Linked DNA regions of Solanum lycopersicum. The protein of the gene in region 1 binds, or shares a complex with, the protein of each later gene. Links are inferred from orthologs where the notes say so. Each region holds a gene or a part of one and is shown in the gene's direction. Other genes may lie near its edges.

Region 1 (4,353 bases):
TTCATTGTTTCAATTCAGGTCAAGATCATCAAGGGCAACTCCAGTCATTGATTCATCAAAGCCATTGCCACCCCAGGCGACATTTCGTGGCCCTTACATCAACACGGGATCGCGTGATATTGGACCTGATCATCAAACATACCCTAAGAAATAACATCTTTCTTGATTAGATATTAGTTTTGCTAGTTATTGAAGTCACTCTAGATTTCCCCTTTTTCTTTCTATTCAATGAAAAGAGATAATAATGAGAGTCTGTTGAAACTGGCTCAGGAGAAATTAGCATGTTTGAGAGTGATCCAGGAGCACCCTAGCTGGCCTGGACACCATTGTTATCGAAAACTCTGGAGGAAATTTGCATGTTTGAGAGTGTGATCGAGGAGCGTCCTATCTAGCTTGGACACTACTGTTTCAAGAAAAATTGTTCTTTTAGAGATTTTCAGATATGTAAGTGTGATGTTGCTTTATTGTTCAGAAACAACAATATGTAATATGCTGCGTGGAACGGGGCTAGAATTTTCAGTAAGAAGTTTGAAAATGAGGGTAAAAAGAAAGGGAAAATTGAATTTTTTTTCCCCCCCTCTTTTTAATGATTTGGTTTAAATGGAAGAAGGCACTTACTTTCATACCAAATTCAAGTAAAAGAAAAGGAAAACATTGGTGGGAATTGGGAATAGAACTAGATTTTTTTTTATGAATAGAAAAAAAAAGCAAAGAAGAAAATTGTTGCTACTAGGGCGTGTTTTGACATATTTTCCATATTTGGTTGGTGAAATCTTTTAAGAAAATGACTCTTTTATTACTGTACTGTATTGTTAAATTTATTATTAGATAACATTGAAAAATTTTTATTTTGTATAATCATCAATTTGGTGTGACTGTATTATAATTTTATTTTTCTTTCTTCTCATTTTGTTTAATAATTTTATTTCATCTTTTTTTCGATCTTAGATCTATCTTATTTTCTTGTAAGTATTGATTATGACATTCAATCGATAACGATAGGATATATTAATATATTTTTATCAAAATAATATATAATGTAATATGCTACGATATGATATATTATGAAATTATACTAAATAACTTATCTAAATATTGTGACATTTCAAGATCATTTTCTTTTCCACTCCTTAGTCCTTACTCCAAACACATGTTAGAAATATATTTTTTTAAAATTTTGAGTTGAAAGTGTGTAATAGAAATATTTTGCTATTGACATTTAACCATTGATTTTATCTCCTCTTTACTTTCACAATTATTATCATGTGTAACCTAATCAAATTTGAATTTGTGTCACGTTGAGAATAAAGAGCTCTCTAATAAAAATACGATTCCATATTCGAATGAGTCAAGCCTAAGAACTCTAACCAAATAAAAGAAGTATTTACCACTCCGCGTTAACACGGTCTCTTCTTCTCCCTAAAGCACCACCACCACAGCTTTCATTTTCTGGGCCCTCCCTCACAAACCACAAAACTCATCAAATTCCAATTCAAACACATTGTTCATAACTTGCACGCAAATCCTTCTTCTTCTTCTTTACTTGAACATATGTGTATTAGTAACACAAAACATTGATTAACTCAATAATGGTTTCTTCTCTGTTACTACCAACTCCTCAAATTCTTTCAATTTCATCTTCCTTACAGTCTTCACTACCTTTCAAACCTCATAATTTTCTTCAAATTACAAGGAAAAAAAATACGCTAATTTCATCTCCTCTTAGAGTAGCTGCACCTCCAACAACAACAACAGCTACTGAAGAAGAAGAGAAGCTAGATTCAAAATCTAGTGATATTGAAGATACAGAAAATGATGAACAAGATTCGTCGTCGAAATTCTCTTGGAGAGATCATTGGTACCCAGTTTCATTAGTGGAAGATCTCGACCCGAGTTTACCCACACCGTTTCAGCTACTGAATCGTGATATAGTTATCTGGTTTGATAAATCTGGATCTCAGTGGGTTGCTTTGGATGACAAATGCCCTCATCGTCTTGCTCCTTTATCTGTACAAATCCACTTCTCGATTTTGCTTGAGGATACTTTTTATATGTGTTTTTAGCACTCCTCTTTAAAGTTTTTGATGTATGGGTGTTTGTAGGAAGGGAGATTAGATGAAAATGGTGATTTGCAGTGTTCATATCATGGATGGTCATTTAATGGATGTGGTTCTTGTACAAGGATACCTCAAGCTGCATCTCAAGGACCTGAAGCTAAAGCTTTTCAGTCTCCAAGAGCTTGTGCTACTAGATTTCCTACTATGGTTTCTCAAGGATTACTCTTTGTTTGGCCTGATGAAAATGGATGGGAGAGAGCTCAGGCAACAAAGCCGCCCATGTAAGTTTCTGAATAATTAATTAAACTAGTTCGAAGTTATGCTATATTATTATATATTAATCTCTACTATAGTGACTTGGTTTATATTATAATACTAATCGATTATCTTTAGTACAATGACTTGCTTAAAATATGTTCTTCGTATTTTATTTAAGCTATTGCTGGATAATGAGATTGATTTGGTAGCTCACTTGGTTGATGCCCTGCATGTGTGGTTGAAGAATCGAATCCCATTCCCCTACCTATCGCGTTGATCAAGATATTATAGTTGGTAGACTTGAGTATACTTTTAGTGGGATTTAAATTTGTTGTTTAATGGGATATTTGTAGGTTGCCTGAAGATTTTGATAAGCCTGAGTTTGCAACTGTGACAATTCAGCGTGATTTGTTTTATGGCTATGACACTCTCATGGAGAACGTCTCTGATCCTTCTCACATTGATTTTGCACACCACAAGGTATTTTTTGCAACATTTTCATTCCTTTTTGGCTTCTAATATAGTTAAGAATCCACTTTCAGACCTAAGGTTTTATCCTTACATGCTAAAAATGAATAGTCTTCAGGGTTAGTTCTGAGTTCTCATAAGCTACGGGTTGTTTGGTTTTTGATTTCCATGAAAATATGAACTCAAACTGTTTCACATGTGAAAAAAGTGAACTTTTGAACTCTTAAGCCAAGTAGCTCGCTGTGCTTGGCCAAAACATATATAAGGTCGTTCCTTGGAGGATTTTCTCTTTATCTGGAACGGTATAAAGGTGTAGCTTTTGAGTGTTGCTCATTGTTTTATACAAGTTTTCATAACCTTACTTTCTGTGCAATTATTAGGTAAAAGCCATACTTGGAGAGCAATAGGTAGAAGTACGCCATGGGAATCTTAACTATCACTCTTATGACTTCAGTGCTACTTTTATCAATTTATGGATAGTTTTTCGATCTTACCATCTTAAAAGATGAAGCTGATAGGATTAGGCTATCCGGAGTGTGGATGCTGAATAACATGTTTTGACTCTGGATGTTGCTTCATATTCAGCTGACAGGATTAGGCTCTCTGGAGTCTAGATACTGAACAGCGTGCCAGACGATCCTTAAAATAACCTTTACAGACAATGTTGTGTGTATCTATCTGTAAATATAAATTTCAGAAAGATCTGAAGTAGAGCTTTCATCTTTTCAGTCGCTAAACGACTTTATTATTAGCAAAGGGCTTCATGTATCAGATAACAGAATACGGTGTATATATAGATGTGCATTTTTACTAGAGTGATACTGCTGCTGCTTGCTTGGTGTCCAACAACACATGTCTCTTAACTTACTTGTTGATATTTTACAGGTTACTGGAAGGCGAGACAGAGCAAAGCCCTTGCCATTCAAGATGGAGGCATCTGGACCTTGGGGTTTTGCTGGTGCGAACAATGATAAACCAAAAATTACTGCAAAATTTGTCGCACCTTGTTACTCAATGAATAAGTAAGTTCATCATCCTAAAGTAGATCAAATTTCTTGACTATCAAGGCAAGCAATCATGTATAAATTAATCATCTTTAGGTAGATATGCTTGCATCACATTTCTCTTTCTCCTACTTCACAGAGTCTGTTATCTGCTAACAAAACGAGACATTAGTAGCATTATGTATCTATACTCTTATGGTTGTGGGCATTATATCCTGTTCAAGTCGGGTTCTTTAAGGTATAGCTTTCCAGACCAGGTGCATGGTTTGTACAAGGCTTTGCGCATCAATAGATGGAAGTTCGCTTTGTTGTTGGTATACATGTCTTTATATCTTTGTATGAATTACGTTTTATATGTAAATGTTAGCTCCATCCATGCTGCAACTATTTGCATAGTATGACTAAGATCTCATTGGAAAATTTTCCAGAATAGAGATCGACACAAAGCTTCCAATCGTGGGTGATCAGAAGTGGGTGATATGGATTTGTTCCTTTAATGTACCTATGGCACCAGGAAAGACCAGGTCAATTGTTTGTAGTGCTCGAAACTTCTTCCAGTTTACAGT
Region 2 (4,035 bases), on another chromosome or scaffold:
ACAATTCTTTGTTTGATTTATATTTCTATACGATGATTTGTATTTGCATATGAGATAATTTCCTTTGGTTTCTCAGTTTTGTCACTTTATATATTCAATCTTTTTGTGTATAGCTTTCAAAAGTTTGTATAAACGTGCACTTTTTTTTTATAATATAATTTATTTAATGTAACTATTTAAAGTCAATAAATGTATATTTATATCAATTCGTTATTTTGAGGTGTTTTTTTTCATATTTGTATAATTTTAAACTTAATATTGCTCAATCATGCAAAAACACGGAATTATACAAAGGTACCCACGAATTATACAAACGAGATGCGAATATACAAATTATTGCCCTCTCTCACTTGCCTCTCTCCTCCCTCTCCCGATCTCGCTTGATTCTCTCCTCTCTCTCCCAATCTTGCTCGTCTCTCTCCTCCCTCTCACAACCTAGCTCGCTTCTCTCCTCCTTCTCCCAATCTTACTTGTCATATATACAAAACCTATATGAATAATATTCAATTATCTAACCAATATACATACACAATTTACCTCTATCCCATTTCTACCCTCTCTCCTCCATCTCTCAATCTCGCTCATCTCTCTCCCTCCTCTCTCAATCTCGCTTGCCATATATAGAAATACATATGTATAATACACAATTATCTACCTGATATACATGTGTAATTCACCTCTCACTCTCTCGCTCGTATCTCTTATCCCTCTCTCAATCTCTCTCGTCACTCTCTTTCTCTATAACATATAGCTACGAATTGTAATTAACAAATTATAACTATGAAGCATAATTAGGCTATTTTTGAGTGAATATATGCAAAGTTCCTTTTTATATTATGGACCAATTCAAGTTTTTTAAAACTATAGTTATAAATTTGATAAAATATAATAATTTTCATAGATATAATTGATAAATTAAGAAATGCATTAATTTAAAGTCAAAATAAATTCATATTGCGAGAACAATCATTATATGAGATACAAACCGTTTAAAAAATCATGATAGAAATTATAAATTTTATTTACATATGAAATAAATGACTGGTATATATATATATATATATTGTATTTTTAAAAATCAGAATTTTGAATTAGGATTTAAAATACAAAAATTTGATTAAAATAACCATGTTTAAGATATGTTTAATCAAATTTTTGTATTTTAAATCCTAATTCAAAATTCTGATTTTTAAAAATACAAACGACAGCGTATTACATGGGCCACAGCACGTGATGTTCGTTTGCTTCCCAAAAAGCAAAGAGATAGCAGTGAACATGACAGTCCTCCTGCTATGGCTGTTCCACTCTCCTCTGCCAAATTTCACACTTCAATTCTCACACAATCACTCCCCTCTTCTTCCTCTCGTTCTTTTTCCGTCGGAAAACGCTTCTGTTGCTCGTCGTCATCAACTTCCATGGAACATCATGAATCGAAATTTAAGGAATTTCCTTATGCATCTGTTCCGCATAGAGAGTTAATGGTGGAACTTGTATCGACTGTGGAGAATCGTCTTGGAGAGTCTCTACTTCCTTGTACTCTGCCTTCTCATGTGCAGTATTTTGAGAATGAATCTGCTACTGCTCATGCTTCTCTCTATGTCAGATCTGGAAATTCCTCTTCTCAGGTACTCTCCGACTACCTCCTCAATTGATTCTACTATTTATTACCTATTCATTCGTTTTTGCAGTTGTGTCAATTATATGTAGTATGATATAGAATTACTTCCTGTTGGATGTTTTGTTGAATTAGTATATACAGGGTGAATAACAAATCTATGGACAAAGAAATTGATTTTCATAATAATAAAGTGTGATACCAATAGTTTAGAACCCTTATTTTCAAGGAAAAGTTTGTCTTGGGACTTAATGACGACACTGAAGTGCACATTAAGCGAAGTGGTCAACATGTGTAAGCCTTGCTTCAAGGCTTGAGCATGCATAAAGTATGCAACCAAAAAAAAAACGCCAAGAATTTTCTCCTAATGCCCTTCAATATGAATGAATACACTACTATCTTGTACATAGTGAAGTTGATAAAGAAAACAAGAAAATTATTATGTACTATAGAATAATGATTGAGAAAGCTAGATCTTGTCATCTTATTTTAGTGGATTTGGCTTATGCAGAAGAGTTAATCCATTACGCATTGTGCTTTTTGTAGATTGTCCTTTTTACTATGTATGCTAATTCTTTTAATAGAAGTAACATGAATTGAAATGCCAAATACTTATCTGTATAATGTGGTGATGGGAGTTAAGAAGATCAGCAAATGTATTTTTGGTTTTATTCACCCAATGAAGTCAGACAAGATTTTTATCAAATCTGTTTCCTTTGAGCTAATTTCAAATTGAGTATTTCTTGTTCAAGCTATATATCTTGCACTTTCTAGTAAATAACAATCCATTCGTTACAATTAAAAAATATATAACAAACAAAATTCGTGAATGTGCTGCAAACTCCCACTAATATTTTAATAGTTTGCAGTTTGTTCTGTGAAATACATCTCAACTAGTTTTTCTGTGATCTTGTCAAAGTAGTTTGATCTCTGCTTGTTCCCCATTCCCTAGCTTCAGGAGCTGTAGGGGGAAAATTCATATGATCTGCAATCTCACCTTCTCACCATTACCATTCCCAACTTCAATATCTGGCGGCACTGAGTTTCCCATCTGAATAGGTGCTGAGGTAAGTTGTGAACTAGTATCCAATCTGGAACAATAGAAGTTTCTTGCTCTGGTTTAAAATTCTGTGCACATCTCAGGATTTCATAGTGTATGACCGACCCAATGTGAATGAATGACTTGAAAAAATGTTATTGAAGTCTGTTTTGTTACAGAAAGTCAATGTAAATAGTGTTGTAGTTGTAGTACCCAATCTCGACTCTTCCTTTCAATTGAAATTGACTCACAAAAATTTTCCTTAGTTCTTTCATAGTAGGTTCCTTTGATAAATTTACCCACAATAGTCATTTGCAATTATTAGCCAAATTCACGAAATAGTCATCAGCAGAGAAATATATGGTTGGCTTTCCGAGATGAGTCTCATGCCTAATTTCAACAGGAGCTTCGGCGATTGAGGCATTGGCAAATCAGCTTGAACCTTTCTGTGAAGGTTGGTTTCGATGAAGTAGCACCCTTTTACCTTTCCCTGCTAAATTGGGATGTTTCTGTTGGAGTTGAATATTGGGGTTCTGATTTATCAGTGGCAACAGGGTTATGATCAGTTCCATTGATGTTGGTCGCGTCATCCGATTTCAATTTTGAAGAGGGTGTGTGAAATCTGAGGACACCTTTGGCTGAGGGGTTAAATGATTTTGGTGGGTGGATTTTGAATGGGTAGTATTTTCCTGTTGAGGTGTTGCATGCGTGATCTGCAAAAGAGTAGGCTGAGTGTTAATAGCAAGTTGGAGGTTCTGGTGAACTGTTAGGGGCAAGCTTTAGGAGTTTATTATTGTCCATGTGTTGTTCCTCTGAAGGATTGGAAGAAATAGGGGATGATGTTTATTGGTGTTGTGGTTGTTGGTGCTAGAAGGAGTTGATTATTGTGTGTTTGGGATTTTTCGGCTGGATTGGTTCAAACTAACCATTGGGGGTTGTAGGAGAGCGGGTGCGTTTTACTGAGTTGTCGGTGTAGGAGAGACTGCAGTTGGTTGAGATGAGTATGGATTGAATGTATAACTAGTGTTTTAGGTGGGTTCCGATGCACAATTGGTGTTTGCTGAAAAGATCAATAGATCTTCATAGAGAGAAGCTAAGAGAGTGTGCATCCAAAATTGACCAACCAATGTAACTGCTCGATTTCAAGAATTATCCTTGTTCATAATTTGTAGTTCTCTGCAAGTTGCATTCACCTGATGTCTTCTTGGGGAGTTATACATAAGGACTGCAAAAGCATCAGGGAGATAGCAATTTGGATCTGGCTTCTGTTCATTTATTCTTATCCAGTTCCATTCCTCCGCTTATAGTTAGTCATTCCATTGAGAGTTCTTTGACAAGTCCATTTAGTGTTCTTTTTCTAATGCCTATAATAAAAGATGAA

The links. The genes of interacting proteins can lie anywhere in the genome.
Region 2: lethal leaf spot 1-like protein (region 1) and red chlorophyll catabolite reductase, chloroplastic share a complex: the UniProt entries of both Arabidopsis thaliana proteins name them as parts of the SGR1-CCE-LHCII complex. The link is inferred for Solanum lycopersicum from reciprocal best matches to the Arabidopsis thaliana genes ACD1 and ACD2.

What each region holds. Positions count from the first base shown.
Region 1 is NC_090810.1:57,602,809-57,607,161, reverse strand, and holds the start of lethal leaf spot 1-like protein, read left to right. Parts: upstream 1-1,500; 5' UTR 1,501-1,589; coding exon 1,590-2,009; intron 2,010-2,102; coding exon 2,103-2,338; intron 2,339-2,668; coding exon 2,669-2,795; intron 2,796-3,668; coding exon 3,669-3,805; intron 3,806-4,215; coding exon 4,216-4,353. Other genes in the region: uncharacterized protein, read left to right, coding at 19-154. UniProt on the Arabidopsis thaliana protein: Catalyzes the key reaction of chlorophyll catabolism, porphyrin macrocycle cleavage of pheophorbide a (pheide a) to a primary fluorescent catabolite (pFCC). Works in a two-step reaction with red chlorophyll catabolite reductase (RCCR).
Region 2 is NC_090802.1:10,423,498-10,427,532, forward strand, and holds the start of red chlorophyll catabolite reductase, chloroplastic, read left to right. Parts: upstream 1-1,225; 5' UTR 1,226-1,292; coding exon 1,293-1,625; intron 1,626-4,035. UniProt on the Arabidopsis thaliana protein: Catalyzes the key reaction of chlorophyll catabolism, porphyrin macrocycle cleavage of pheophorbide a (pheide a) to a primary fluorescent catabolite (pFCC).